Linked DNA regions of Astyanax mexicanus. The protein of the gene in region 2 binds, or shares a complex with, the protein of the main gene of each other region. Links are inferred from orthologs where the notes say so. Each region holds a gene or a part of one and is shown on either strand. Other genes may lie near its edges. The genes, in order: snrnp40, txnl4a, pqbp1 and lsm6.

Evidence for each region.
Region 1: txnl4a (region 2) and snrnp40 share a complex: the UniProt entries of both Homo sapiens proteins name them as parts of the U4/U6-U5 tri-snRNP complex. The link is inferred for Astyanax mexicanus from reciprocal best matches to the Homo sapiens genes TXNL4A and SNRNP40.
Region 3: the proteins of txnl4a (region 2) and pqbp1 are in contact, whole or in part, in a crystal structure (PDB 4BWQ), measured with the Homo sapiens proteins. The link is inferred for Astyanax mexicanus from reciprocal best matches to the Homo sapiens genes TXNL4A and PQBP1. Residues at the interface, in NP_006692.1 of Homo sapiens: Gly11, Trp12, Val14, Asp15, Ile18, Asp68, Phe69, Met72, Tyr73, Glu74, Met82, Phe84, Asn87, His89, Met91, Gly97, Asn98, Asn99, Asn100, Lys101, Leu129; in NP_001027553.1 of Homo sapiens: Gln241, Gln242, Arg243, Pro244, Tyr245, Pro246, Ser247, Pro248, Gly249, Val251, Leu252, Ala254, Asn255.
Region 4: txnl4a (region 2) and lsm6 share a complex: the UniProt entries of both Homo sapiens proteins name them as parts of the precatalytic spliceosome. The link is inferred for Astyanax mexicanus from reciprocal best matches to the Homo sapiens genes TXNL4A and LSM6.

The regions. Positions count from the first base shown.
Region 1 is NC_064410.1:50,280,418-50,287,832, reverse strand, and holds the start of snrnp40 (U5 small nuclear ribonucleoprotein 40 kDa protein), read right to left. Parts: upstream 3,019-7,415; 5' UTR 2,885-3,018; coding exon 2,774-2,884; intron 1,213-2,773; coding exon 1,083-1,212; intron 714-1,082; coding exon 620-713; intron 61-619; coding exon 1-60. Other genes in the region: zcchc17 (nucleolar protein of 40 kDa), read left to right, coding at 5,275-5,342, 5,779-5,857, 5,972-6,029, 7,265-7,365. UniProt on the Homo sapiens protein: Required for pre-mRNA splicing as component of the activated spliceosome. Component of the U5 small nuclear ribonucleoprotein (snRNP) complex and the U4/U6-U5 tri-snRNP complex, building blocks of the spliceosome.
Region 2 is NC_064410.1:756,040-763,226, reverse strand, and holds the start of txnl4a (thioredoxin-like protein 4A), read right to left. Parts: upstream 3,016-7,187; 5' UTR 2,881-3,015; intron 1,701-2,880; 5' UTR 1,679-1,700; coding exon 1,526-1,678; intron 1,380-1,525; coding exon 1,276-1,379; intron 1-1,275. Other genes in the region: adnp2b (activity-dependent neuroprotector homeobox protein 2b), read right to left, coding at 5,166-7,187. UniProt on the Homo sapiens protein: Plays a role in pre-mRNA splicing as component of the U5 snRNP and U4/U6-U5 tri-snRNP complexes that are involved in spliceosome assembly, and as component of the precatalytic spliceosome (spliceosome B complex).
Region 3 is NC_064419.1:20,725,479-20,732,900, forward strand, and holds the start of pqbp1 (polyglutamine-binding protein 1), read right to left. Parts: upstream 3,008-7,422; 5' UTR 2,856-3,007; intron 732-2,855; coding exon 665-731; intron 561-664; coding exon 449-560; intron 58-448; coding exon 1-57. Other genes in the region: timm17b (mitochondrial import inner membrane translocase subunit Tim17-B), read left to right, coding at 4,439-4,464, 6,857-6,956, 7,040-7,103. UniProt on the Homo sapiens protein: Intrinsically disordered protein that acts as a scaffold, and which is involved in different processes, such as pre-mRNA splicing, transcription regulation, innate immunity and neuron development.
Region 4 is NC_064414.1:49,786,679-49,794,565, forward strand, and holds the start of lsm6 (U6 snRNA-associated Sm-like protein LSm6), read left to right. Parts: upstream 1-4,883; 5' UTR 4,884-5,002; intron 5,003-7,021; 5' UTR 7,022-7,026; coding exon 7,027-7,120; intron 7,121-7,887. UniProt on the Homo sapiens protein: Plays a role in pre-mRNA splicing as component of the U4/U6-U5 tri-snRNP complex that is involved in spliceosome assembly, and as component of the precatalytic spliceosome (spliceosome B complex).

The DNA.
Region 1 (7,415 bases), about 50 Mb from region 2:
TCACCAGTCTCACTGTCCCACACACACACAGTCTTATCCGTACTGGCTGAGTAGAGCAAGCTGAAAAAAGAGAGAGAAAGAAGTATGACTTAAGAAGTTACCTTTAAAAAGGATCACCATGAAAAAAAAGGATGAATCTCAGGTTATCGGCATGCAAGACAAAATTTTTTAAACATGCTTAGAGAAAAAATTAAGGCAAAAAACAAACCAAAAAGAATAAACGCTTGTGATTTCTAAACAAATATATAAATAAAAAACAGAAATTAACAGTTTTACACAAACGGAAATAAAACCGTCCACTAAAAAACAAGGTCCAGTAAAAAATTGGGGAAATCTAATAGCAAGTAATTAACATACCTGTAAGTAGCACAACTCAGAACCTTAAATTACGCCACTTTGCTCGGTCTGCAGTTAAATCAGTAAGCTACCCTGCATTCCAAATTTAAAAACTGTAAAATGCAATGCTTGAAAATAAAAACAAACCTGTAGTTTTAAGACCTATGGGAGATGGGTTTAAAATGCTTTAAATCTAATCAAAGTCTTTTCTTTAATAAATGAATGCAAGACATCTACAGATACCCTGATCTATGCTATAACTTATTTACACTTTAAAACACACCTTCCATCTGTATTGTAGTGAAGCTCCATCACAGCTCCACTGTGGCCTTTCAATGTGGCAAAGTTCTCACAGTCTCCGTACACACTCCATAACACTGCAAAACACACAAACATCATTTCAGACAGAATACCCAGCTTATTACAAGAAAATGTAATTAGCTAAACTATTAAACTTATGCAGAGGGGGTCAAACAGATATACACATTATGTTACAGTAATTGGGTCTTTTTGACTGAGACTAGCCCATAGCAGAATAAAACCAAAACTGACCATCTACAGTTGTTGTTTTTTTTTTTAAGAATTTTGACTATATTTAATTCTGAGGCTCTGACCCCATGAAATTAGCAAATTATAAGCACCATCATGTGGTTCTTTTACCATTATGGCTCACAGAAAGAAAGACAACACAATAATAAATTAACGCTCAGTGCATTTTCACAAACGTGCTCAGAGTATAGTCTTACAGATGAGGCGGTCATATCCTGCAGAAGCTAGCATGGCTCCATTGGGATGAAACTTGCAGCAGTAGACTTCTCCTTCATGTCCAGACAGCAACATTATAGGAGCCTGTAAACTGGAGCTGCGAGGAGGACCCTGACAAAATAATGCTTTGGTTAATATAAGGAAACAATTTTCAAACTGAGGCAAAGAATTGTTATAACAACTATTAACAAATTATTAACTAAAATAACACCAGTTATACAGATACTAACTTAGTTCCGAGTTTTACATACCAATAACAGTATTTAAGCTATTGTATTAAAGCTATTTAACACTGCACATATGTTGAATGCATTTTTACTGGCTATTAGAACTAAATTAGAGATATGTTTGAATAAACATATAATAAACGCTCTTTTTTATTGCAGTACATCATTTCAGGTTAATGATTGTTTTTCTATCTTAATTTTACAATCCTTCACTGGCATCGTTGAAATTCTGACATTGATTCAATGTTTATTTAGACTACCAGATACTGAAAGCAGAGGCTCATATACTTTTGCCACTCACAAATACAGCTCTGGAAAAAATTAAGAGAACACTTTAAAATAATCTGTTTCTCTGATTTAACTATTTATAGGTATATGTAGTTTCTATAAACTACGGACAACATTCTTCAAAATTCCAATTAAAAATATTGTAATTTAGTGCATTTATTTGCAGAAAATAAGAAATGGTCAAATTAACGATAAAGATGCCATGCTTTCAAACCTCAAATAATGCAAAGCTAAACAAGTTCGCCTTTATTTAGAAACAACAACAATACTAAAGTTTAATCTAAAGAAGAGTTCAGAACGAAGCAAGTTTTCTTCCAGGGTAACCTTGTATACGGCTTGAATCATGTGTCATTCACAAAAACCAAACTGCTCAATTCCATCCTTGCTGAAGCATCCCCAGATCATTAATGATTTTCTACCAAATGTCACAGTGGGTGCAAGCTGTGTCTTTTACATCTTTGCAGGTCTCCATCTAAACATTTGATGGCCATGTGTTGAGCAAATCTGAAAATTAGACTCATTAGAGAAGATGACCTTACTCCAGTCCTCTATAGACAAATTTGGAAACTTTAGCCTGGTTCTTTTTTTGCTTCTCATTGGAGAATGTACTTTTTCTAGCCCGCCTCTGAGAGATTGTTTTGAACTGTTCTTTCCATGCACTTCAACCCAGCTGCCATTTGCCATTCTTTTTATAGGTCACTTAATGTTATTCTGCGGTTGCTGACAGACATTCAAATAAGTTGACGGTCAATCTTCAGACCTGAAGTGGTCTCCTTTTTTCCCAGAGCTGTGTGTAATATTGGATAATTTTCCTAAATAAATAAATGGCAATGTATAATATGTTTAATATCTTTACCTACTTTAAGACTTGTTTGAAAATCTGATGATGTTTTAGGTCATATTTATGAATAAATACAGAACATTCGAAAGGGTTGTGCTCCAGGTGATAGGAATGGCTTTATTAGATTGATCTGTAGAGCTGATATTATTCCTAAACCAGTACATCATACCACATCTGAAACAAAAGTTTCTACTACAGAAATCTGGTGTGGTTACTCCAGACATACCACACTGTAGTGTACCTCATAATTGTACAGTGTTTTACAGTAATATCTCCCTGTCTGTGTTTTTTACCAGATTATCAGACTGTTAGTTACCATGGTGGCGATCTGCTGGTTCTGCGCTGCGGCCACCAGCTCGCTCCTCGGTCTCTTCACGGCGGCGGGAACCAGCGCCATGTCCGCGCCGCGCTTTTTCGGCTCGATCATGGTGTTTAGCGGCGGGGTCTCTCGGGGTGAGGCGGGGGTATGAGCTGGAGCCGGGGGTCGGGGTTCTCTGTATGAGTTTAAATTCAGCTGAACGGATCTCCTCACCGTCCACCATTAACACCACGCCGGGGTGAAATACAAACACTTCCGGTGATATCGGGGCGTTTGATTGGTCCGTTCATGTTTGCCGGCTCCTGATTGGCTGTTGGCCGTGCGGAGGCCCATTTGAACAGGAAGTTGTAAGCGGAGCAGAACAACAACACGAGCCCTGCACGAGTTTATTCAGTGTGTGTTACTGAAAGTATAGGCTGATTATTTGCTGACCTATTGGTTTATTTAAGTATTTTAACTGCATGAAATGCTTAATTTATCCTAAACTAAGATCTACCGACTTCATAAAAGCTCCTCCAGCCTTATTCTTCATCCACAAACCGGTTCCGTTCTCTCCCATCTGACCTGGATTCACCTGAAGAAAGCAGTAAGTTCAGCAACGTTTCCTTCTATTATTGGTTTATATATAATAGATGTTTATAATGGACAGTTCTTAAATTAAAATGTAATCTAAAATGTAGCATGCTTTTTTAAATGAAGAGCAGATAATTCAGTTCATAGTGACATAAGCTATGGAATTTTATTCTCTCTTATTTATAACTACATTTTAACTAGTAGAAATTGCAATACCAGATATCCACAGCAATTTATAGTAGTGAAAACTGTATAACCGTGTTATTGCTAGTTAAAACTCGAATAAATAATATCTAAAACTTTAACACTGCATACACAGGTCCTTCTCAAAAAATTAGCATATTGTGATAAAGTTCATTATTTTCTGTAATGTATATATTTTAGATTCATTACACACAACTGAAGTAGTTCAAGCCTTTTATTGTTTTAATATTGATGATTTTGGCAAAAAAGTAAAAAAAAAAAAAAAAAATCTCAAAGAATTAGCATATTTCATCCAACCAATAAAAGAAGTGTTTTTAATACAAAAAAGTCAACCTTCAAATAATTTTGTTCAGTTATGCACTCAATTCTTGGTCGGGAATCCTTTTGCAGAAATGACTGCTTGAATGCGGCGTGGCATGAAAGCAATCAGCCTGTGGCACTGCTGAAGTGTTATGGAGGCCCAGGATGCTTCGATAGCGGCCTTAAGCTCATCCAAAATGTTGGGTCTTGCGTCTCTCAACTTTCTCTTCACTATATCCCACAGATTCTCTATGGGGTTCAGGTCAGGAGAGTTGGCAGGCCAATTGAGCACAGTAATACCATGGTCAGTAAACCATTTACCAGTGGTTTTGGCACTGTGTGCAGGTGCAAGGTCATGCTGAAAAATGAAATCTTCATCTCCATAAAGCTTTTCAGCAGACGGAAGCATGAAGTGCTCCAAAATCTCCTAATAGCTGGCTGCATTGACCCTGCCCTTCATAAAACACAGTGGACCAACACCAGCAGCTGACATGGCACCCCAGACCAACACTGACTGTAGGTACTTGACACTGGACTTCAGGCATTTTGGTATTTCCTTCTCCCCAGTCTTCCTCCAGACTCTGGCACCTTGATTTCTGAATGACATGCAAAAATTGAGCAACAGTCCAGTGCTGCTTCTCTGTAGCCCAGGTCAGGCGCTTCTGCCGCTGTTTCTGGTTCAAAAGTGGCTTGACCTGGGGAATGCGGCACCTGTAGCCCATTTCCTGCCCACGCCTGTGCACCGTGGCTCTGGATGTTTCTACTCCAGACTCAGTCCACTGCTTCCACAGGTCCCCCAAGGTCTGGAATCGGCCCTTCTCCACAATCTTCCTCAGGGTCCGGTCACCTCTTCTCGCTGTGCAGCGTTTTCTTCCACACTTTTTCCTTCCCACAGACTTCCTTGATACAGCACTCTGGGAACAGCCTATTCATTCAGAAATTTCTTTCTGTGTCTTACCCTCTTGCTTGAGGGTCAATGATGGCCTTCTGGACAGCAGTCAGGTCCGCAGTCTTACTCATGATTGGGGTTTTGAGTAATGAACCAGGCTGGGAGTTTTTAAAAGCCTCAGGAATCTTTTGCAGGTGTTATGAGTTAATTCGTTGATTCAGATGATTAGGTTCATAGCTCGTTTAGAGAACCTTTTCATGATATGCTAATTTTGTGAGATATGAATTTTGGGTTTTCATGAGCTGTATGCCAAAATCATCAGTATTAAATAATAAAAGACCTGAAATATTTTAGTTGGTGTGCAATGAATCTAAAATATATGAAAGTTTAATTTTTATCATTTTATTATGGAAAAGAATGAACTTTTTCACAATATGCTATTTTTTTAGAAGGACCTGTACAGCTCTGGGTTAAAAGACAACTTGATTTAACCAAAGTGAAAACCTCTGGAACATCATAAAGAGGAAGATGGATGATCACAAGCCATCAAACCAAGCTGAACTGCTTGAATTTTGCACCAGGAGTATCCAAAAGCAGTGTGTAAGACTGGTGGAGGAGCACATGCCAAGATGCATAAAAAGCTGTGATTAAAACCAGGGTTATTGCAGCAAATATTGATTTCTGAACTCTTAAAACTTCATTTATTTGAGGTCTGAAAGCTCTGCATCTTTTTTGTTATTTCAGCCATTTCTCATTTTCTGCAAATAAATGCTCTAAATGACAATATTTTTAGCAAAGCTGATTCAGAAAATTCAGTTAAATGATTGTGATTGGTGATTACTTATACATTGGGGGGAATCAAATGGTAACACAAATAACACTAGGGGATATGTTAAATATTACCAGTGCTTACAGACCATTGATCATATGTATGTCTTTGTATTTCTATGAGAGCATATTTTGATACCAAATTTGTACGTTGCCACTAACTGTGCTTTTTGTAATGCCTTCTATGTGTTTTTCTGTTTCAACCTAGAGCATCGATGGCTGGTGAGCATAGAGAGCCAGCTGGGCTGGATGGACTGCCAGAGCTGTACAGTATCCTGCGAGGAGAGGTGAGACCTGGTAACAGCTGAGCAGAGAGAGAGATTGTAAACTCCTCAAGGGTTTTTTCTTATTAATTGGTAACGCCTCCTATTTTTCTTTCTGTTTCTCTTTTACCTTTGTAGGTGGCTTCTGTAACAGATTATGGAGCTTTTGTAAAGATTCCAGGATACAGGAAGCAAGGTGACTTTTCATTGTCTTATTCAATTGTGGATGGTGAATGACACCACTCACATACACTTTAACCCTTGCAATCTTTTAGGTGAGCAGCCAATGAGCCTGAATTCACCATGACTAACGCTTAATGTCGGTATAAGGGTAAAGGGCGGTATAAAGCCTGAACATTGGGCTCTGGAGCTGCATGCTTAAACCCATCATCTAACATCAGGCCTAAAAAGCTAAATGCCAAGTTCTTGGAATAAGCAGTCTTGGTGCAAGAAATGTAGAGTGTGTTTCTGCAGCAAAAAGCAAAGAAAAAATGTAAAGCTGGTTTGAAAAGTATATCAAATAACCAAAATATGACAACATATGAGTAATTTCCTCTCTACAAAGCATTTACGCAAGAGGCTGTCACTTTCTTCTATAACTAACTGCTTCACATCTTCCACCTGCACACTTATTAAGAGGTGCTCAGACTACCCTAGCCACACTAGCTACTGTATTCCATGACTGCCTGTTCACATTTAGCACTATGAGTGTGTCCCGGTTGCAAACAAATTAGTAATACCTAGTTTTTGGTTGTGTAGTCTGAATAAAAATCTCAAAATACTCAAATATCCATATTTTGTACTGAGAATTAGTCAGTTGTTGGTTGTGGTTACAAAGGACAATGTAATGTGTAATGTCTGAAAAAAAATAAAAACAAAATAATGGTGGACAAAGATGCCAGGGCAGCGACCATTGTTGGAAAAGTAATACTTTAGCACTTCATATGCATACACTTCATGTATTAATATTTTGTTCCAAACCCACACTAAGATTAGATTTCCATTTCCATGAATTATCTACCAGTTGTACATTATATATTCCCAATACCACTTATTTGATTACATTTTTATTAATATTTCAGGTATAAGGTGGTGAAAATCTTGTACTATAAAATATATTTTTTCCCCAATATTATGCAGCTCAAGTGTGTAGAAAGCAATCGGCACACAGCCTGTGTATTGTGCTACAACTCTTTGATTGTTATGCTGATATTTATGTTGGTCATACTTGTTGTAGTTTAATTCATTCATATAATTTAGCGTTTATTTTAGTCCCAATTCTGTTGTGTGGTCTTGTCTGGATACAGCTTCTCTCCTGTATGTGGCTCTGAGATATGTCTGTAATTAATAATATCAATCAATAAATCAACCTTTATTTTCACTCAGGATAAACATAAAAATATGGAATTAGTCACACTTGTCTCTTAACAGGTTTGGTTCATAAGAGTGAGATGTCTGCAACTCGAATAGAGAATCCTTCTGAAATCGTGGACGTTGGTGAGCAAGTTTGGATTAAAGTCATTGGCAAAGAGGTACACAACTGAGAGCAGACACTCAATAATATGGCACTCATAATTGATAA
Region 2 (7,187 bases):
AGCCGGTATGTTTATTTGTTTCACAACAGTGGAAACAAAAGCCACTAACCTGAGATCTTATTTAAAGCACAACCATCCAGCTGAATACTGAATATAAAAATTGTTCCCCCAGAGAGATCCTGCCTCAAGCCCCACACGGTAAACATGCTGGTGTTTCTTGCTCAGAATTTGTCTGACAGTTACATTAAAAAATACATTTCTAGCTAAAGCTCTGGCCTGATGAGCTATCTGTGTGTCTTTGATCATATGCACAAAGCTAATGTGTGTTTTACTGCATAAATACATATATGATCAGAAAAAGGAATCTGCAAGTGCCCGTGTGTTCAGAGTTTTTTTTTTTAATAATTAATGTAAATGTTACATTAATCTATTTGTTGTTAATTTATTTTTTACAATAAGGGTTTAATATTTAGTGCAGTTTTTTCAGAACCCAGGGTGGGTGTACTTTATTTGTTTATTTAGGATATTAAAATATTTTTATATTGGGAGCCCAATGTCTGCACTTAATAATTTAAAGTTAGTTTATCTGTAAAATGGTGTAATAGTATTATGCTAGTATATTATTAGTGTGGCACATTGTCTTAAAGCACCTTTGGGAGCCCAGAAGCAGGAAACAAAAAATAAAATCTATAGTGGTGCTTTAAAATGACGATATTATCGTTTATCGCAATAATTTCTGGGACAATATATCGTCCTGAAAATTTTGTTATTGTTGGCCTACGTATGACAGTATGAAACACTTTGAAAACCCGCCCAACCCTAATTTGCATGAATAATCGATGAAATTACTGTAGAAAAACGATAGGGATAGCACGATAAACACTTTATCGTCCCCACAATATTTATCCTCATATAATACAGCACTAGTTTATAATATATACTTTTCATGTATTTAGTCCGACCATTTGAACCACACTATAATCCTGTTTACACAGTGTCACTTTTATTTCTTAGCCTTCTGACTAACTGAAGGCTATCAGGTGTAAATGCATGTGGGTAAAATCTAAAATTTACACAGCCTCAACCTTCATTTATATGTGGTGTGGTTCATGTAAACCCTGATGATGTATTTAAAAAGGATTACTACAGCTAATACACTCTGATTAAGCTCATTTTAAGCTTTGTGTTCTGAAATTCACAACATTGTCTCAAAAAAAAGGATGCAATCAAGAGAAGACAAAAGAAGAGAGATTACTAGAGAGATATTTTTAAATAGCTGTGTAGTGTTTTACACTGATAAATTAAAAGGATCAGACTCATATGGCAAACACTCACCTGAAAAAGAACATGACCGTACAAGGGTCATACAACTCGTACATCTTGTTAAAGTCTGGCACTTCAGTGATATCCACCAGGTAAATGACGGCAAAATTTTTGACCTGGGATTACACAGGAGAAAAGACAGAATGAGACAAATTACAAATTCTACAGTACAGAAATCTACCCATTTTTAGTAAGATACAAAAGCAAAATTGGGAGCAAAAGCAAAGTAATGATTATTTTAGATAAACAAGCATGTAGTCACCTTTTCAGCAATACTGTACAAAACCTCGTCCATTTTCATGCACGTGGGGTCCCAATCGTGACCAAATCGGATGACGAGCACACGGTCCTCCTCGGACAGAATGGCCTGGTCCACTTGCCAGCCGTTGTGGAGATGTGGAAGCATGTACGACATCTTGGCTCAAAAAATATTTTCCCTAAAGTAACACAAGAAAGACGAATGATGGTTCAGAATGTGTGCTGTTATGTTGTAGATCAATAGTTTTTAATCCAATCAGCTCTCACTTCTACCCCTAAACCCATACATCACATTGTCCTTTCCAAACTACCCCTCACTACTGCACATGAGGGTGGAGTTGGCTAAAATTAGGGGGCTTAGTTAAAATTGGTGTAACCGGATCTTTTAACTATGAATCATTTAACCGTTATTTTCACGCAGTAACAGATTGAGGGTAATTTACATTTAAATAGAAATTAAAAGCAAGAATTTAATCATGTGACCTAAAATAAGTAACGTCAAACAAAATCAAAATGAAATTATAAAAGCTTTAGAAAAACAAGATAAGATTTAATTAAGAAGAAATACAAATAAACTGAATAAAAGGATAAGTGCACAGGCTAAAATGTAAAGCAATAAAATTAAGAGATAAACGATTAGAATAATAAAATATATTAAATAAATGATATTAAAAAGCTTAAAGGCCAAAGGTAAAACAAGGAAAACAACAAATATAAAGACAAAATTAATAAAATAAATAAAACAAATTAAAAGTCTAAAAGGTAAAAACAGAAAATTAGATGAATAAAAAGAAAAAGAAATATGATTTAGTGACTCCGGTGAGCTGTGTTTTAGAGTTTCCTGACTAACTACTTTTAATTGCGGCTCGTTTTCCTGACATTAGTGATTAAATGCAACAGTATTTGGTTTTGTAAATGTAATTTTTTGTGTATTGATTTTTAATAAAGAGATGAAAAGCAGTGAAATGTAATGCAATAGTGATCATTTAATTTTGGTAAATACAGCTGCATAATGCAGCTGGTGGATTGTATTTACATTTTTTCCTCGGTTGTGTTTTAGCTTTTTAATCAGGCATTAATTATTTTCAATATAAATCACAGTTACAGTGTATATTCATGATTATACTTTATATTCTCTACTTTAAATAGAGGCTAGATAACCGAGTTTAGCTTAGTTTAGATATCAGCTTCTTAAAATTTCTGGAACACTCCAGGCAGCTATGCTAAGCTAAGTAGTTTGCTTACTACTAGTCTGGGTATCTAAACCCGTTTACAGAGTAAAAGTAAAGATTTAAGTAAGTAAAAACAGATTTAAAAGGGACAATGTACAGTAAAACAGATGAGTAACGTGAATATTACCTTCAGTAAGAGGAAATCAGTGTAGTTTGTGTTTATTTGTGCTGCTGTTCTCTGCCTCTATCAGACCTCCCCCATCCGCCGGAGCTCTTCGCGGACTGAGCAGGATACGGAAGTGACGACACACACGTGCGCACGGAGGCGCGTACTCACGTAACGTGGGTACACTATACCGGTGCGTCTCAATGAAATAGAATATTATTAAAAGTAACTTTATTTCAGTAATTCAGTTCAAAATGTGAAACTCATATATTATATAGATGTATTAAACACAGAGTGATATATTTTAAACGTTTATTTTCTTTTATTGTTGATAATTATGGCTTGAAGCCAATGAAAACCCAAAAAAAGCAGTGTCTCAGAAAATGTTAATATTATACAAGAATGATTGGTGCATTTAGCAGTGTGCCAAGTCCTGCTGGAAAATGAAATCAGCATCTCCATGAAAGTTATCGTCAGCAGAGGGAAGCTGTAAGATATGAAGTGCTGTAAGATTTTGTGGGGAAACAAAACTGACTTTAACAAAACAAGACTTTAGACTTGATAATAAAACACAGTGGATCAACACCAGCAGATTGAACTGAATTGCTGAAATAAAGGAAGTATTAAAGTATAGAGCAAAGTTTTCAATGATATTCTGATTTTTTGAGATGCACCTGTATTGTCTATATTGCGAGAAGAATTCTATCACCCACCTAAATCATGGTACTCAGGTGTTTCAATCACGTATTTCAACCAAGTTATATAAATAAAATATAGATAACAATTGTTTAGGGGAAAACAATGAGTCAAATACCCTGTGATGCTAAATGTGGAATTAGGGCTACTTTTCACACTGAATTACACCCCGATATTGGACAAATTTATATTAATATTTAAGAAACACAAGGTAAATGTTTATTGGACTTTGTGTATAATTTACAGGACAGTCAGAAAACATATAAAAGCCTAAAAAATCTTAAAGGAAATGCATCATTTTGGATAAAAATTAAAAGGTCAAAGGCTTATCTAATTAAAACTATCAGATGAAAATATTATATGAGCTTAAAATCACCCATCTCAAAGAATTGCCCCTATGTATTACGCACAGTTGTCTTTTATACTGAATCAAACTTTTACGAACAACGAACCATACAAAATGATTACTATTGAGAAATGTCTTATGCATTGATGTATGAAGTCAAAATATTAAATAAAATGTTTTAAAATAAAGCAGACATTAACAGCACATACAGTGTTTCAAGGTGTAACTTTATTTTGCATTCTTTCTTACATAGTGCCCTTACAAATGCTCCACTATGCAATCTGCCTTGTTTTTTAAAGAGATAAGCTTGAAATCAAGTTGTGAGCAAATATGTTAAATCTTTTAACAGTCTTACATTCCACTATTACAAAAACCAAATGCTCATGAACCATGCTTACAAATGGCAATGAAACAACAGACCGCCATGCTTACAACAGAGTGGTACCTCAGGGCTGGTAGGCCAGAGAAATGAAACAGTTTACTGAAACTTGTACAGTGGTGTAGTAAGCTACCAATTTCAGGGCCAAGCCTTTATTTAAAAGGACTTATCGCTATCCCAATGTTTCAAATCATCCCGATCCAGAGACCCACGAAGTAAGAGAGTAAGAGACCATGATAGAAGGAGGCTGAAAGGGAAACTCATGTTTAGGCACAATTCTATGTAAAGTAACACACACTGACATACCATACTGACATATCATGTAGGCACAGAATAAATGAGGAAGCACTTAAACAGAATACTGGAACCGTACAGGAAAGAAAACGGGTAACTTCTTAAATACGTTGAACTACACTACTATGAAAGCGCTTTAACTAAATGCGCCTCAGTTTTATATTAATATCCAGGTATAAAAAGTTGATAATATGCTAAAATGTAAAAAACAAACCAACAAACAAACAAGAACGAACAGAAACAAAGTGAAGGCAAAAGTAATAAACACACTGTAAAACATGTGAGTTGTCTGAATGTAATGGGAAAACATTTCTCAAAGTTTTAACAGTACTGTGTAGAATGACTACTAAAACTAATATTACTGAACAGCATATAAGTCCAGATGCACTGTAAGTTCAACTTATTATTTAAGTTTACTTCCAAGAAAAAGGAGTCTACACAGATTTCTAAGGAAATGAACGTGGTCCTGTGAGAACTGATCTACCTTTAATACAATATACCTTGTTTTTGCATTGTTTTGAGGAGTCTCCCACTCCATTTGTTCCTGTTTCTGAATTATTTATTCATCTTTAAAAGAAAAACAAAACAAAACTAGTCAACCTCTCGGGCCTCTTCGCTCTGACCATTTTGTTCTGGGGTTTCAGCTCCCGGGGTGTCTTGTTCCATGTTTTCTGGGTCTGGCGTTTGTGCTTCCGGGCTTTCTGGTTCCATGTAATCTGGGTCTTGGGTTTCCGATTCCAGAGGTTCTGATCCCGCGGATTCTGAACCCGGGGATTCTGGTTCTGTGTCTGCAGAGGTCTTCTCCGGCTCAATCTGGGGAATAACCAGGTCGTGCTTCAGTTTCAACAACTCCGTCATTTTGAAACCTAAAAGCACGGCGGCTCTGTTTTTCTGCAGGTGCTTCATGCATCTGGTGCGCTTCGATCCGATCTGGCAGGCGATGTCGGTTTTGTTCAGCAGTAGGCGATTACTCAAGGCGATAATCTCCTTCTTGAGCGGATAGGGCTGTTTGTTGAAGTACTTGTTCACAAAATCCCTCCGATCTTCAAATGACCGTATATCCATTCCAGCAGGGTCCAAAGCGAACTGCACTGAAGGATCAACCTGCATATCAGGCGACGGAGGAGTCAAACCTGCTAACCTGTCTCTCTCCAACTTCCTTTTCCTTGCTAGCCTGGCCTCTCTTTCTTTCTTGTTTGCCGCTATGGCCTCCTTCACGGCTAGCTCCAGCCTCAACTTGCTCTGCAGTTCCGCGGCTGTATGCGGGGACTGGATCGCAGGGACCGAGGCTTGGACTGGAGCTGGAACTTGAATCGAAGACTGTCTTGGAGGTGGAGGAAACGAGAGCAGCCCTTGGCTTCCTCTGGGCGCAACGGCTAGACCAGAACTCATTATCCTCTCGGCATCTCTAGGGGTCTTGGGCGCAGAGCGACACTTGGATATGTGGACGGAGATTGCCTTCTCTGTAGTTTTCCCCGTGTACACTCCACCACAGTAGACGCACTTGTATGCCGGGGATTTGAGTATAGCATGAAGGGTAGGTACAATGTAGTGCTTCTCTCGGAGGTGAAGCTGATAACACTCCATGTTCAGCTGCTTTTCAGAACAGAAAACACAGTCTAAACTGTCTGGTTTTGGCATGGGCATCTTGCACACTTGCTGAGGACTTGCAGGCAGCATCTTCAAGAATATCAAATCAAGGGAGTTGGTGACTAGAGCCAAGTTAAGCTCCTTTTCTCCCATCATCTCCTTTGGCGCTGTGGTGTTGATGTCAAAGTAAGGGAACAGGAGGCTGCCACTTTCGTCAGTGTAAAGACGATACTCTCGCCTCATGAAGTCACAGTTCGCCTTTTGGTTGGGATTGTGATCCATTTGGATGTGCGCAACCAGCTGCTTGAGAGAATAGAACATCCCTGAACAGTACAGGCAGTTCAGGCCGTGAAGCAGATGTTCAAAAAGTCCTTTTTCAGAGAGCAAGATCTTGCACATCAGACATTTCACAGTCTTGTCTGGCATCTTCTTCAAGAAGGGTGCTCGGGCGGCTAGGCCTAGCTTGGTCTTCTTGGACGCCTCTTTATGGACCTCGACGTGGGATTCGTATATGCTGGATGGGAAAAGCTCATTACAAACAGGACAGGTGACCCATCTCTTGGTTTGCTTGGAGTCCTGGGAGCCATTGCTGGCCAAGGCGTTGTGCTGAAGTGTGGGGACATGATGCGGCACAGGCAACGGCGCGTTGTTGGCCATTTGCATGTTATTTGGCCGGACAGACAAAACATGCAGTGGCGCAAGAGTGTAGGTAGGTAGGCCGTCCACTTTGTTGCCCGTGGGAATCAGATGACTTAGGAGAGACTGTGATGTCAACATGGTGCCCCTAGGAGTTGGCTGGTTCACAGGGAACCGTGGAGATACAATCAACGATTGCGGTGTTGGTGGTGGTGGTGGAGGTCCTCTTACAGATGGCACGTTGAACTGCATTCCTGGCGGGACCAGAACTTGACGGGAAGGAGGCTGCATCTGACCAGGCACTCCCAACCTGACTGGTAGCTGCTGGTGTGGCATAACCGGATGCATTGCAGGCGGAGGTGCCATGCCTCCCATGACAGGTACCGT
Region 3 (7,422 bases), on a different chromosome or scaffold from region 2:
TTGGGAGACAACCAGGACACCAAGTCTGTCTCTACGTTCCAGTAGTATGGGAGACCACTGAAAACAAACACAAGGGACGTTTGTGTCATTAAATATTTATAAAGCAATGATATAGGGGGGAAAATAATTTTATTTTATTCTTCCATATTTCTGTTATATCATCAGGCTCATTATGGTGTATACATGAATAACACACTAATCCAATCACAGCAAGTTTCATTACATAATCTGTTGTTATTGTCCAATCTAGCCCATTTAAAACTCTGGCAAAAGATTTAAATGAGGTGTCACATAAAACACATATATGAAGTCAATATATGGAACTAAGAAGATGCAATCCAGATAATTTGAATGAATGTTTTTTGTGTTATTTTTTATGTAATGTAGTACACAAGGGTTCTAGCATTGCAACGAGATTAAAACATAGTGCAATACAGGAAGCACTTACCAGGTAGGGTCCAGTACTTTGTACCAGTTGGTGGGTAAATTTTCAACCCTTGTAGCTTCATAGTCTACATTGTTGTCGTCATAGTCTTCAGCAATGATTTCCTCTTCATTGTCTTAAGAACAACAACATATCCAATCAGTCATAAGCAAAACATACATTGTATATTGACTACATTAAGAAGTACAGCTGACTATGTACTGTAAGCTGACATCTTACCATGTTCTGACTGCTTTAGGATTCCTCTCTTGGCCAGACGAGCCAGAAGAGCTGGTGGCAGAGGCATCTGGGGAGAAGAAAAATGGAGAGATATTTTGCATATTAATAACATGAAATTGTTAATTGTTGGTAAATTTATCTAGATTTTAGTAAGACACTCTAGAGAGATGAGGAAATCGCACAAAGATGCTCGTTATTATACATATGACTGTATATCCTGAAGATGTGAAAACATAAAAAAACAATTGCTGATGGGTGCGGATGTGTGGGCACAACCTGTTTGCAATATGTTTTATAGCTTTTTACAAGTAATGAAAGCTTGGCTTTCTTATGCCTGCTCATTACACCAATCAAAAAACAATAACTTTGTATTTTAGACAAGAACATAAAGCAACCAGATAAAAAAAAAAACATTAGTTGACTTACATGCCAACAACTGCATTTACAAATGGGGTGAACACATCCACCCAGATCTAGTCAATTTAAACTACAGACCAAACCCTAAAATCAGAATAGACGATACAGCACCACTCTCTAAAAAATAAAGATGTGTCTTAAAGCAGTAGTTCTCAACCCTGGTTCTGGTGTACCACTGTCCAGCATGTTGTAGTGTTTAGATGCTGCTTTAGTAGCAGAATTGGACTAAGCATAAATATTTTTAACTTACATTTATTTTGTTTGATTAGAGCTGAAAAATATATTGATATTTTTTCATACTGATAAGGATTAATTTCCTTCCTTCAATCAACTATATCATCATTGCTTAAAAAGCACTGACCCAAATGTACATTTATTGACAGAGTGTAAAAAAATTCTATTTCATTTTAGAATTTATAGAAATCACAGTATTCTACATAAAAAAGTATTTGAACAGTTAAAACACAATGCATACAGTTAATCAAATGATTATCTTTAAATACTGTGATATAATATTTTGCCATGTTATACAGATCTATTAGTATGTGATTACATACACCAAGGCTGGCTTTTACACTGTTCATAAAGATATTGGTATTAATTTAGAACTGGGCAAAAAAAGTTTTCGTTTATTTTGCACCATGGTCTTGGAATAACATTAAAAACAAATCACAGAGTTGGTTTTCTTGAGTGAGCTTAAATCCTTTCTGTGATGAATTCTGTGATAAGTAAAAAAATGTCTGTGATGGAAACATGCAATGGCTACTCTGACATGCCTGTTTTGTGCTTTCATGTTGGTTTTGTGTTTATTCTAAATGTAAATAAATGTTGTAATGTTCTGTAACTAGTGCTTCGACAGTGTCGATTATTTAAATGTGTCGACTACAAATTTCATTTTTGACTAATCGTTAATTTGTAACAGTACCGCATTACACAAAGTGGTGACAGAAACACAATGGGAGATGGTAAATGGCTCACTCATACAGTTTACACTCAATTTAGTATGTGTCTCCAAAAGTGCTCAAACACAACAGGTTACATATTTAATCACTACATATCAGTAGTTTACACGTTTAAACAACTTCTAGGCATTTAAATTGCTTTATAATTCTCATGTTCTATCGTTTTAGAGATGGGGGATCTGGCAGAAATAATCATTGAGTAATCGACTAGTCGAAAAAATAATCATCAGATTAGTCAACTACCAAAATATTCATTATTTGCAGCCCTATCTGTAATTGGAAATGGTGTGCCGTCCTGGCCAGATCTCCCTTGAAAAATAGATTTTTATCTCAAGGGACCTCCTGGTTAAAAAAATTAAGTAAATAAAAAAATATCGTATTGACCGAAATTAAGAATTATATCGTAATATTTTTTTTGCCATATCGTCCAGCACTATGTTTGGTCCTGACTCTTAGCAACTAAACCAGTGTTGTGGTCTGTGGCACTCTTAATTTATTTCTACTTCTTAGGACAGCTGTAACATTTGGTTGTATTATTGATGATCATTAAGGTGCTGTTTGCAGAGTAAAAACAAAACACGAGTTACAGCAAAACTAGTTACCCAGCACTTTCATTCAGCCCTCAGACTTAACGCTAGCTTAGCTAAATAGCATAGCACGTTACCCCAGCGTACTCAGACTCCTATTTAAACCATTATCTGCTGTATTTCAGCTAGATATCCATGCAAACCAGTGTCACAGCAGGCAATACAGTCTGCAGCATCTGTAAATAATCCACATTGATAAATTGAGAGAACCGCTGGTTTATTTACCTTAATAACAGCCGCGCGCTGCTAACTTTTCATTCACAGCAGCTACCAGCTTCAGTCGGCGCAGAAAAATGACGTCACGCTCCTCCCCCTTGTGGTCCCAGTGGGATTTAAGTGTTTTTGCTTGTTATAGAGAGCTATGGACAAGCATATAGAATAAATGAAATAAATAAATTACGTTAAATTAATTATAATAAAATTATACAGCTTATCGAGTGTCCGCTCCAGTCAAACAAGGAGTTTGATATGGTCCAATGAAATTAACAGTCCTTGGCGTTTCTGTTGAGACAGCCAATCACAGCACGGGATTACTTGTAGCGATCCTCCAACCGCAAGCAAAATGTAATAAAAGTACTTTATTTTAAATAATAAAAAAAACGACAAGAATGAAGATTCAGAATTATTTTAACCATTTCTCTTTCTTGACGTAATTTTGTACCTGGTACTTGGACCAATGCAAATGCTGCAAAATGACTTGAATAAACGAACCTGTTTTACGTCATCTTATACTTTGTGGCAATTTGGGCACCACAGGTTGGTGTTTTTATTCTCTACAGAAAACACAACCTCCAGGCATTTAATTGATTGTGAGAGTGGATGTTGAATAGCGTTTTATGTGTTACTAATGAGGAGTTGTTACTTTTTTGTGAGATTTACCTGAGAATTTGTGAATATATATAACATTTGGATTTGTAAGTGTTTTAGCCATTGTACTAATAAAGTGCAGTTAAAAGTATCTTTCTATCTTTCTCATGATACCCACTCTGTATGTCTGTCTATCTCTCTCTTTCTCTCTCTCTCTCCCTCCCACTTAGTCCAGTTCAGTTTAATAGTGATTTATTAGCATAAATGTAAAAAGAAACACTATTGCCAAAGCATATGACAGAAAACACATAAAAGCAAAATAATAATAATAATAATAATAATAATTACATACATGTATACAATTACAACAACTGGAGCTATTTACAGGCGTAAGCATTATTATTATTAATTATAATTGACAAGAAAAGGAAAATAAGGGTGAAAAGACTATAAATACGTAATAATAAGGAATAAATCAGTGATTTCGGTAAATTAGTTATAATAATTTTGTGTTTTTGTCCACACTGGTTTTCCCTCAGTGAGTGATCAGCTCCTTACTCCCTCTATCTCATGATACCCACTTTGTCTATCTGTCTCTGTTTCTCTCTCCATACCCATTCTAATTATTTTACGTTGTCTTTCTCTAGCACTCATTTGGCCACCAATGGTCAGTGTATTTATTTCTCTACAGAAAACATTTGTGCATTGACATAATGTATACTAAGTGTAACTGTACAATAACTTTGTATTGTGTGTTTATTTTCTTAATTAAAAAATGAGAAATACCTGGTGTAGGTACAAATACTGACATTTTAAATATTTTTTAATTTAGTTTATATACATTTAATGTACAAAGTTGGCATGTGTGCCTTATATTTTTTGTACTAGAAATGCAGACTCTCTTCTCTCTGGGGTGGAAAATCATTGCTAATCCTGTCCATCAGGTGGCGCTGAAACCCCGGCGGGCGGCTGCGTCACGGCGCCGAGGTCAGCGGCTGATCATGGAGGAGTATGCCCGTGAACCCTGGTAAAGTACAACTTCTGAGACAGCTTCTCTCTTTAACTAAACCACCGGTAAACAGAGCCGCTCTGACTCCGCTCAGAGGAGCATTTCCCCCGCCTGTGTGTGACTGTGTGTCGGCTCTGTTTCCTGTAGTTCCTGCAGTGAGTGTATGTGTGTGTTTGTGTGTGTGTGTGAGTGCAGTACAGCGCTCGGTTAGCGGGGCTGGCTAACAGCATAAACACCTCCTCCTCCTCCTCCTCAGGGTCGGGCTGCGAGTCTTACATCAGTGGAGCTATACACACACACACGAATATACAAATACTCACAGATACTACACATGCAGGAGGACCTCTTAGCCAGTAACAGCGTTTAATTACCACAGTAACGCACATTTAAATTCCTTAATAAGTAAAAGTAAAGTAAAGTAAAAATACAGGGAATTTTAGATTATATTGTCTGTTTTGTTATTTCTTAATTTGTCTTAGTTCTCCCGGTGTTTTCTCTTTGTCCTCCATAATTTTCCCAGTTTTCTGACACCATGTATGCTTACTCGTCTTACTTTACCACTCTTTATTTTATTAGTTTTTTTCTCATCTTTTTTTCTCACGGTTTTTACAGTTTTACTATTTCTCTGCATCTGTTTACTTCTCGCTTTCTGACCTTTACTTTCTCTGTTTGTCTATACCACCCGCTTCCCTGTTTCTTTTATTATACATAATTTAATCTCTCTGTCTCTCTCTTTCTCTCCCTTTCAGTCTCTCTGTCTGTATCCTTCTTTCAGTCTCTTTTAGTCTCATTGTCTTCTTCCCTTTCTCTCTCTTTCAGTGTCTTTGTCTCTTTCTTTTAGTCTATCTCTCTTTCTTTCAGTCTCTCTCCCTTTCTCTTTCAGCCTACCTCTCTTTCAGTCTCTCTCTCTCTGCATCCCTCTTTTTCTCTCTCTTTCAGTCTCTCTTTTTCTGTGTCTCCCTCTTTCTCCCTTTTGCAGTCTCTCTCTCTCTCTCTCTCTCTCTCTCTCTTTTTCTCAAAATACCCACTCTGTCTCTATTTCTATGTAATACCCTCTCTCATTCTCACGATTATACCCACCACTTACTCTATAATCTGTTTTTCTCACTCTGCTCTGCCCATTCTGTCTGGCTCTCTTTTTTCTCTCTCTTTCTGTTTTCTTTTTGTCTTTCCAAGATTCAACATTTAAAGTCGTTTTTTTCTTGCCTAACTGTAACTGTTTCTGTCAATGTTTGTCAGAAAATTAACAGAAAAAGAACAACAGTAATTATTAATATTTATTAGAGGTGTGCCAAAAAATCGATTCACATAAGAATCTTGATTCTCATTTACTACGATTCAGAATCGATTTAAAATGTCCCAAAATCGATTCTGAGGGGCGGGTTTTGGACTGATTTTGGGCTGGGTATTTTTGTTGGACCTGGCAACCCGCTTGTCCCTTCAAACCGAGGTCTTCCAGACCCACACAGAGCGTAGTAGGTGTTTGAGAATCACCGGTAAGATGGCAGAACAAGCACTATATTACTTTAGATTAACGTGTAGTTTTAATGTTTTATGGCAGAATGCTTCATAACAAGCATAAAAAAGATCGCTAGTAGTTAGTTTCAGTAACTGTTAGCTAGCTAACAAGCTAACTTTCCAGTTCCACCTTAAATAACGCTACAGGTGGCTGCGGGCTGCAGCATTTAAGGCGGAACGGAAAAATAACAATAAGCTAATCAGAGCTAATTTCAGCTCCTCATCACAGAGGAATTAAGGAATGGACAATATGAATTAATTTCTCCACCTCCTGCCCCCTTTCTGAAGAAATACAACGACCTTAAATTAACTAGTTAATCAGCAGCTGCTCCTGAACTTTAGCGCTCCACTGCTATCATCACATCAGCCCAGCAGCGTCACCTACACACCACCGCTAGTAGCCTGGTAATAAAGCAGTGTTATTTATTATTTATTTATTGTTCATTAACGTCATTGTGATATCCCAGTGATTCCTCTGTCACTGAGGACCCACATTCCTGCACATTTTATTGTTTTTGTAACACATTACTTGCTCCAGGACCAGTGTATATTATGGAGGGGTTTTTTTTTCAATAAGATTCATAAGCCAGAAGCAGAAATTTTTATAATTCAAATCGTTTTGAATCAAAAATCGATTTTGAATCGAATCGTGGCCCCCAAAATCGGAATCGAATCGAATCGTGAGATAGTAATCGATTCCCACCCCTAATATTTATAGACAACAGTCAGGTATGGTCTCTAAGGTGGTGACCCACTATAATAATACCCACTCTATCTGTCTATCTGTCTTCCTCTGTTTGTCTGTCTTATCTACCTGTCTTTCTCTGTTTCGTGATACCTCATGATCTTTTTTTCGTTATGTGTCTTTTTATCTCTTTATTTGCTCTCTCAGTCCTTGGAGAATAGTAGATGACTGCGGAGGTGCATTCACGATGGGGGCCATCGGTGGGGGGGTGTTTCAGTCCATCAAAGGCTTCAGGAATGCGCCTGTGGTGGGTGTTTCAGTGCCTAAATAATGACCTGATTTCATGCTGATTGTGAATTCTTTTGATTCTGATTAATCTCTCTCTCTCAGGGCGTACGACACCGGCTGAAAGGCAGTGCGAACGCTGTGAGAATTAGAGCACCGCAGATCGGTGGTAAGTTTTTCTGTTGTCCTGATTCTTGCTCTATTCTTCTCCTGCCTCTTTGTTCTCCTTCTGTTACAGTGAGAGACAAGCACAGACTGACCTGGATTCCCTGAGAGTATCAGTATTTTTACTGGGCTTGTGCTTCAGCCAAAAAAGATCAGGTTCCTAATAGTAAACAAGTGCTGTCAGGTATCAGTGTTACAGATATGATTATATTTGCTGCTTCATTCATTCACTCTCTGTTGGCATATGAGACTAAAACAGGTTCCTAACGACACTTATCAGGGCAGAAACTAAATGCTGCAGCTCCTCCTACTTTCTTGGCTGG
Region 4 (7,887 bases), on a different chromosome or scaffold from region 2:
TATTACCTCCATCCAGTGCGGGGATTAGGGAGAGGGCGGATGGGGGGAGGGTGGGGGCGGGAGAGAAAGGAGAGAAAGTACACGCCGGCAGCCAATCTGGTTTTCATTTGAAAACTCCCTCGAGGTTTTTCCATTATACCCCCCCTCCCTCCATATCCAGGCTGACCCCGGAGAGAAAGCCCTCGCCCGCGAAGGTCAGCTCAGTCTAGACTCTCCCCGCCATCCGTCCATCTCTCCATGCCTGCCTCCCTTCCGTCTTCTTCTTCTTCCCAGCGAATGTGCCTGCGGCAGGCAAGGGTTACCCCCGCCCCCTGTTTTCTTTTTTTTTGTGTTTTTTTTTTCCCCCGCTCCTCAGCAGCTCCTACACTCTCTACGCTCCTCCTCTCTAACCCTGCCATAGCTCCCACTGTAATCTTTTCATTTCGCCTCCCCTCCCTCTCAGGTCTTCAGGGGCTTGGAAAGGTGAAGCAGGTTGTACCAGCAAATCAACTGTGCCACTGTCCATCTGAGCACCCCCCGGTATCTCCGAGCCAGGCCCCGAAAAACAGTCCCATCTGCCCTCTCCGGGCGGCTATTACTGTTGAGTTACAGCTTTCGCATCGGTCAAGGCTCAGGGCACTCGTCCAAGGGTCGCCCGCTCGCAGCGCGCTCGAACGGTCTGCGCCGCCTTTTGTCTTTCGCAAATCAGTTTTGTATTTGCATGAGGCCCACCCACACCCGGCGGCGCGAGAAAGCCGCAGAGCCACCAATCGCTTTATTCATTTCATCATGAAAGAGAAAACGTGGTGCCGCAGAGCAGCGCCGATCCAGAAGGACAGGTCAATAAGGTTAAAACGTCTTCTTCTCCTGCGCACAGAGGCTGCGGGAAACATTCTCATCGCCTCTCCAGGCAACTGGCACAATGGCGTAGAGGAAAAAGCTCGTGAAACCCAAGTTGTGTCTCCACGGCTCCATTGTGTTTTCATTCAGTATCACTTAACAAGCCTGGCTCTTGGCTCCTGTCCAGTAAAGTCAAGAATGAGCTGCAGTACACCAGGAAGGTCAATATCGTGTATGTGTACGAGTGTGTACGAGTGTGTACAAGCGTGTATGTGTGTGTGGGCACTCTTTGTGTGTGTGTGCATGTATGTATGTGTGTGTGTGTGTATGTGTGTGTGTGTATTTGTATCGCTCAGCTCACAACCTCACAACATCATGACAGTAGCTCGTACTACCCCTCCATTATTATCAATCCTGCTGTTTTTCTCCTGCTGGACCTTCAGAAAGCAGCCGGTATATAACACACAACAATCGCTTTGATTAAGGGCAGGCGTTAAAGCCTCCGAATGGCTTCCCTTCCTCCAAGCCCCTTCCGGACACGGACCGAGGGAAGCGACGAGGGGAAGAAAGAAAGAGAGAGGAAAAAAAAAAAACGTTCATTGAATATTCATTAACCTGTGCCTAGGTGTGTACGCGGTTCTTAACCACACTTGTTTATGACTTAAGGACTTGTAGCGCTGACCTTAGTTTAACACGGCGCCAGATACCAAATTAACCTCTAGCCTCCGCAGGGCTCGCCATGCCCCGCTAACAAGCAAACTGTCTGGATGCGCCAGACGTGCTTTATGATTCTGCCTCTCAGGTTCCTGCCTCGCTCTGCCTGAAAGCAGCAGCGCACACTGCTCTCCAGCCCTGCTCTCTCTCCTCACTGTTTATCCTCCACCTACATCCATCCTCCCTTCCACGGCTCCTCTTAACTCAGCCTTCACTCCGACAAGTTCTTAGGACAGAGCGGTAGAAGAAAAAGAGATGATAATACCATAATACCATAATAATCAATGCAAGTGTGAGCTTGACCAACAATGCTTAAGGGGCTGCTGAATAACATTGGATAAAACATTGCAAAAAAAAAATGAATTGGAAAATATAGTTAAATAAGAGTTGTATATGTTTAAATTAAGCAAAGAAACAGCCAAAGTGGTAAACAAATTTTTCTTAGTAAGAGTTCCTAAAATAAGCACTCACAAAATGTCAGTTTTGGCTTATTTTCAGTTTAAATTCTAAGTAAGACTGATTATGATCATAAGTCCTAAAATAAGCCAAAGAATCTTACACGACTTACAAGAGAAAGACAAGTATGGTTGGTGTGGCGCAGTGGATAACACCACTATCTGCCTGGGTGACTGAATGCTGTGCTACACCAATAAGAGTCCCTGGGCTAGACTCCTAACACTACATTGGCCCACCTCTGTAATAGGAACAAGCTTGTAAGTCGCTCTGGATAAGAGCATCAGCTAAATGCCATAATTGTAAATATCATAGACTGTATATAGCTGGACAGAGCATCGTCTCTTAAAAGTGAAGCCACCACAGGTCGGGCGCCCCCTGCTGTTCGGCTGCAGAAAGCTGTGTAACCCCACCCATCCCCATAGGTTTCAATGGCAAAGCAGACAACTTTCAATCACGTTTTTTTTCTAATATACTCTAATTCTACCTCCATTATTTAAATGCAGCAGCTAGTGTAGCCTCTGCTTATATTGTCAATTTTTTATATCCCCACAGAATTCGGTTTTTGAAACTTTATTCGGCTCTATTCAAAAAAGGTGTGGTTATGGTAAAAGGGCTGGTTATGGGCGGGACCAATAACAGACCGTCAGCTCCGCTCCGCCCCGCTCTGCAGTCTGTGACCGCGAGGCAGCCCTCAGGGGCGGGGTTATTTAAATGAGTAGGAGCTCTCAACAGCCTTTCTCCCTACTCTGGTCTCTACTGCGCAGACTCTGGTCTCTGAATCGCCAAAACGGCGGAAGATTCTGGCTTCATTTTTATTTTTTTGCAGTGTACTGATCACCATTACATTTGTACAGTCCTAACTTGTAACAGTTTCTTTTGTAAACTCTAAGCACAAGCAGTTCAATATAGTATTGACAAAAAGGTTGAACTGTTGAAAGCAATATTATGTAGCAATTTTACCCTTAAAGAGTAGCTTCAGAACCATACTGATGCTCTGAAACTGAAAATGAGAAGATTGCATCTCTGGATGGAATGATGATACTGCACTGTGTAGTATGTTATGTATGTTAACTTTGATAGGCATTGGTTAGTGTTCAAATTCTGTAATTAAATCAACATTAATTTAAAGGTTTTAAAAGGTTGATCTCTTATACTCTATTAATAATAAGATTATTAATAATTATTATTTAAATGTCCTTTTCTACACTGCAAGACCACATTATATAGACTATACTAATAGAACACAAACAAGATATGCATATATAATGTAAGTAAAATGTAATACAAACCATTATTATAAAACAATAATACTAAATTAATGTTGAATCAACATGCACAAATAAATTCATTTTGATATCAGAGATCAATACAGTTATATTGAATAAATAAATAATATTGATTTAATGTCAATATTTTGCTGTCTGGTATTTGCAATTTCTTACTTGGTTCAAATCAACTGCAGCATAAATCTTTATTTTTACATGGAAATATGTAAAAAAGTTAAATGTAAAAACTATTAAATATGAAGTCTAGATTGAAAACTTACTTGTTTATTTAGCTTTTGGTAATTAATGTTTCTCCTTTTAGATAAGGCTGCAGATTCAGGGGTTCATGGACAGAGGGAATTGTGGGTAAACTGAGATGCTGGTGCTGTTGTTCTCCCACTGCACACGGTCACTCAGGTTTGTGGACGGTGGAGTGGGTGGATGCTGATGTTTCAGGGAGGCTCCGTGTCTATGTTACCTTCTGGCTCTCTCCCTTTAGTTAGTTTATTCAGATCTGAGTTTTATGTTTTATATTTTCTGTTTTACATAAATCCAGTAAAACTAATTCCATCTCTCTGCCTTCCTCCGAGTTACTGACTGCCCACCTGTCTGACCCAATACCGATGGATGTTGGACCCTCGGGCTCTCATGTCCCCTGTCCGGCCAGACTGATGGAAATTTCTGAAGTCAGCTCTTCTCCATCACCCACCACAGATCAGCTGCTCATCATCAATCTTACTCTCCACTACAGATTACATCCTTACATATACTCCAGAATATATAAAACCTATGTGGATGTATAAAGACTTTTTATATTTTAATTTAAAAGCCGTTTGACCAGTGGTAGGATGGTCACCCCTTAAATGTGAGTCTTGGTCCTCCCAAGGTTTCTTCCTCCTCCTGCAGCTCTGAGGGAGTTTTTCCTTGCCTCCGCGCTCACTGGGGGTCCTGTGTTCTGTATTTTCTATGTTTAATGTTTTGCCTGATTCTTTGTCCTTTGATCACATTTCTGTAAAGCTGCTTTGTGCCAACACCAGCGCTATACAAATAAATTTGATTTGATTTGATATGAACATGAACAATTCATGGTGGGAGGTTGTTTGTAACTATCACTAATGTGAAACTCACAATTATCAAGGGACTGCAGTTCATCTTGTTCAATATTCAGTAGTATTTTGTATTATTTTAATTAATTAATTGATTTTATTATTTTTTACTGAATCAGATTTTTTTAAAATATAACAATATTACGACTTATTATAACTGTATTATAATTGTATAATATTACAATTTTGATGTCCTGCAAATCAAATACTTGTATCTCCAGTTTTGCATTTTTAATTAATTTATTGTTTATTTTTTCTTTTTTTTTTTTTTACATATTTTTCATCTGTAAAAAGTGAAACATTACATATTTTTATTTTAATAATATAATATAATATAATATAATATAATATAATATAATATAATATAATATAATATAATATAATATAATATAATATAATATAATATAATATAATATAATATAATATAATATAATATAATATAATATAATATAATATAATATAATATAATATAATATAATATAATATAATATAAAAGCCCTTTGTCGTGAAGGCGAACTGTCCCTCAGCGGCACCCGTAGTTCTGTACTAAGCTCGGCTGCTGATTGGTGGAGCGCCATCAACACCGGGACGTGCAGAGAACGTTGTTGAAGCAGCAGCTAAGCTAACCTGCGCTAAAATAAGGTGAGTATAATCCGGCGGGTTATGGATTCAGTGCGGGATATAAACCCGCAGTTTATAAGAATAAATCGCTGTAGTTACAGTAATAGTGCGGGTTTATAGCGGAGGTTTGTTTATTATGCGGGTTTGGAGGCAGTTAGATGTGTAGCTAGGCTAGGCTAACGTGGCTAACTGCTAGATAATACTGTAGAATTCACTGGTTTAACTAAACTAGATAATCTAGCCTAACTGCACAAATTGAACCTTTTACTGTAGATATGTGAGATTTACGTGGTTTTAGCAGACAGAACTGCCCGAGTTTTTTTTACAGTATTTATACAGTATTTTGTTATACAGTTTTAGCTAAACACAGTAACGTTACTATACTAGTGAATCTCAAAAAACAATTTTACTTTATTTCAGTAAGTTAATTCAGTTCAGAATGAGAAACTCATATATTATATAAGTGTTACTGTTGTTGATTATGACTTACAGCCAATGAAAACCCAAAAATCAATATCTCAGAAAATTAGAATATTATATAAGACTTATTTTTGGCAGTGTGGGCAGTGTGCCAAGTCCTGCTGGAAAATGAAATCTGCATCTCCATAAATGTTGTCAGCAAAGGCAAGCATGAATGGCTGTAAGATTTTCCGAGAAACACCAGCAGATGACATGATGTCTCTCCAAATCATCACTGATTGGTGGAAACTTCACACTAGACCTCAAGCAGCATGCACTGTGTGTCTCTCCACTCTTCCTCCAGACTTCCTTGATTTTCCTAATAAAATGTAAACTTTACTGATGGTCATCTGCTGGTGTTTGTCCACTGTGATATATCAAGTCCAAAATCAGTAAATGAACCAACAATCAAGCTGATTTTAAGTACATTAATAATCGTCAAATATTGATGGTGTACTCAGTATGCTTATTAAAGCATCTTGTTTATTCAATAAGAAAGTGTCAAGATATGATAAAATATTGATCTATTGCCCAGCTCTAATTCTACAACTAGTACTGTGTATCTCAAACTACTGTTTATATACAGTGAGGCAAATAATTATTTGATCCCTTGCTGTTTTTGTAGGTTTGCTTACTGACAAAGACATGAACAGCCTATGATTCTAATTCTATCTTTCACAGTGAAAGAAATAATAAATAATAAAAATGGTATCTGTAAAATGCATATCAATGTATATCATTTATACAATGTGATTTTTCTGGATTTTATGTTTTATATATTTTATTGTTAAAATGAACCTACACTTAAAATTGTAGATGTCTTTTGTCAGTGGGGAATCAGCAAGGAATCAAATAATTATTTATTTCACTGTAAGTTATAAGCAGATGCATGTACCTACATGCTGTATAAGTTGCATAGCTGTCTCTTTAACTTATCCTCACCACACTCTCTGTGCCAGCACTGCACTGTCCCATCTGTTAACTGTCTAACTGATATGTATATTTCATGTATATTGCTATTTCTTTCTAGTCTTATGTTCTAGGTTTATGTTTGCACATTGCACTTTATGTATTTCATTGAGAGTCCTATGTTGCTTTATTGTCATTTCACTTCACTGTATACTTGCAGTCAGGTGAAACCTCATAACAACACCTTAACAACTACTTTGGATACCACAGTAACTAGCTAGAAATATCATAGAAACCACCTGGAATAACATGGCAATCACGTGGCAACAGCCTAGCATGGATTTGATACAGTAACCACTTAATCTGTACAACCATTTTGTGTGTCTATTAGGAAATGCTCTTTAATAGTTTATAATAGTTGTTTTTTAATAAGTCTAACAGTGTAAAGATGAGCATTGTGTTCAAGCTGAAAAGAAAAAAAAAGGATTAACAAGGTACAGATACTTTTGTGTGGGTATAAAAAATGAGTTCGCATGAATTACTGCAACATCAGAAATATTAAACATGTGATTAGTGTGAGATTGAAATGCAGACTTGCAGCTCGTCAGCTCATTATTATTCATTCTTCATTTATAATTCACTCTCTTTTTTTTCTTTTTCACTCCCTGTTAGTCAAAATGAGCCTCCGGAAGCAGACCCCCAGTGACTTCCTGAAGCAGATCATTGGAAGGCCAGTGGTGGTGAAACTGAACTCTGGAGTGGATTACAGAGGTAAAAGCACCACTGCTGCTTTGAGTAGCTGAAAATGAACTCCTGCTGTAATTTGCTGTGTGCTGAAGCTGCATCTGTTATGTATTTTTCTTCCATTATATGGGCTTTCTCAAGATTTATATATTTTACACTGGTAGTCTAAATAAATTGCTGAAGTGTTGTATTTTGTTATTGGAGGGAGACAAAATCCTTATCTTGTCTTGGTGACAACCTCACATTACTTTTGTTTTTTAAACTGATCTTATTTATGTTTCCCACACATAAGAGTTAGACAATATGACTAAAAACTTGTATTTTAATATGTTTTACAGAAATGGTAATATACAATATATAATGTACTGAAACCCTTAGAGTAGTGTTACAGAAAGTGTTAAACCGTCAGTATTTATTTATAACTAAGTAGGTATTTCACTGGCTTAGTAAACTGCACTGGATTATAATGGTTGAAATAAAGTAATGATGCTTCTCCTTTAATTATGATATTTCAATACCACAATTTACACAAGACTGAACTCCACAACACCCATGTACAACCTTTAAATAAATTGCACAGCTGCTTCGAAATTATGATTTGATCATTTTTATATATATATTTTTTTACAAAACAAGCTTGAATAAAGGGAATTATTTTACTGATCCTACACTTAAGCTGTTATTACCTGTGCAGAAGCAGGAGTGTCCAGCCTTAAAGAGCCAATAAAACTTGTGAAAAAACATACTTTTTCACACTAATAGGGAGGATGATGTTTCTGTGTACTTTGGTACGA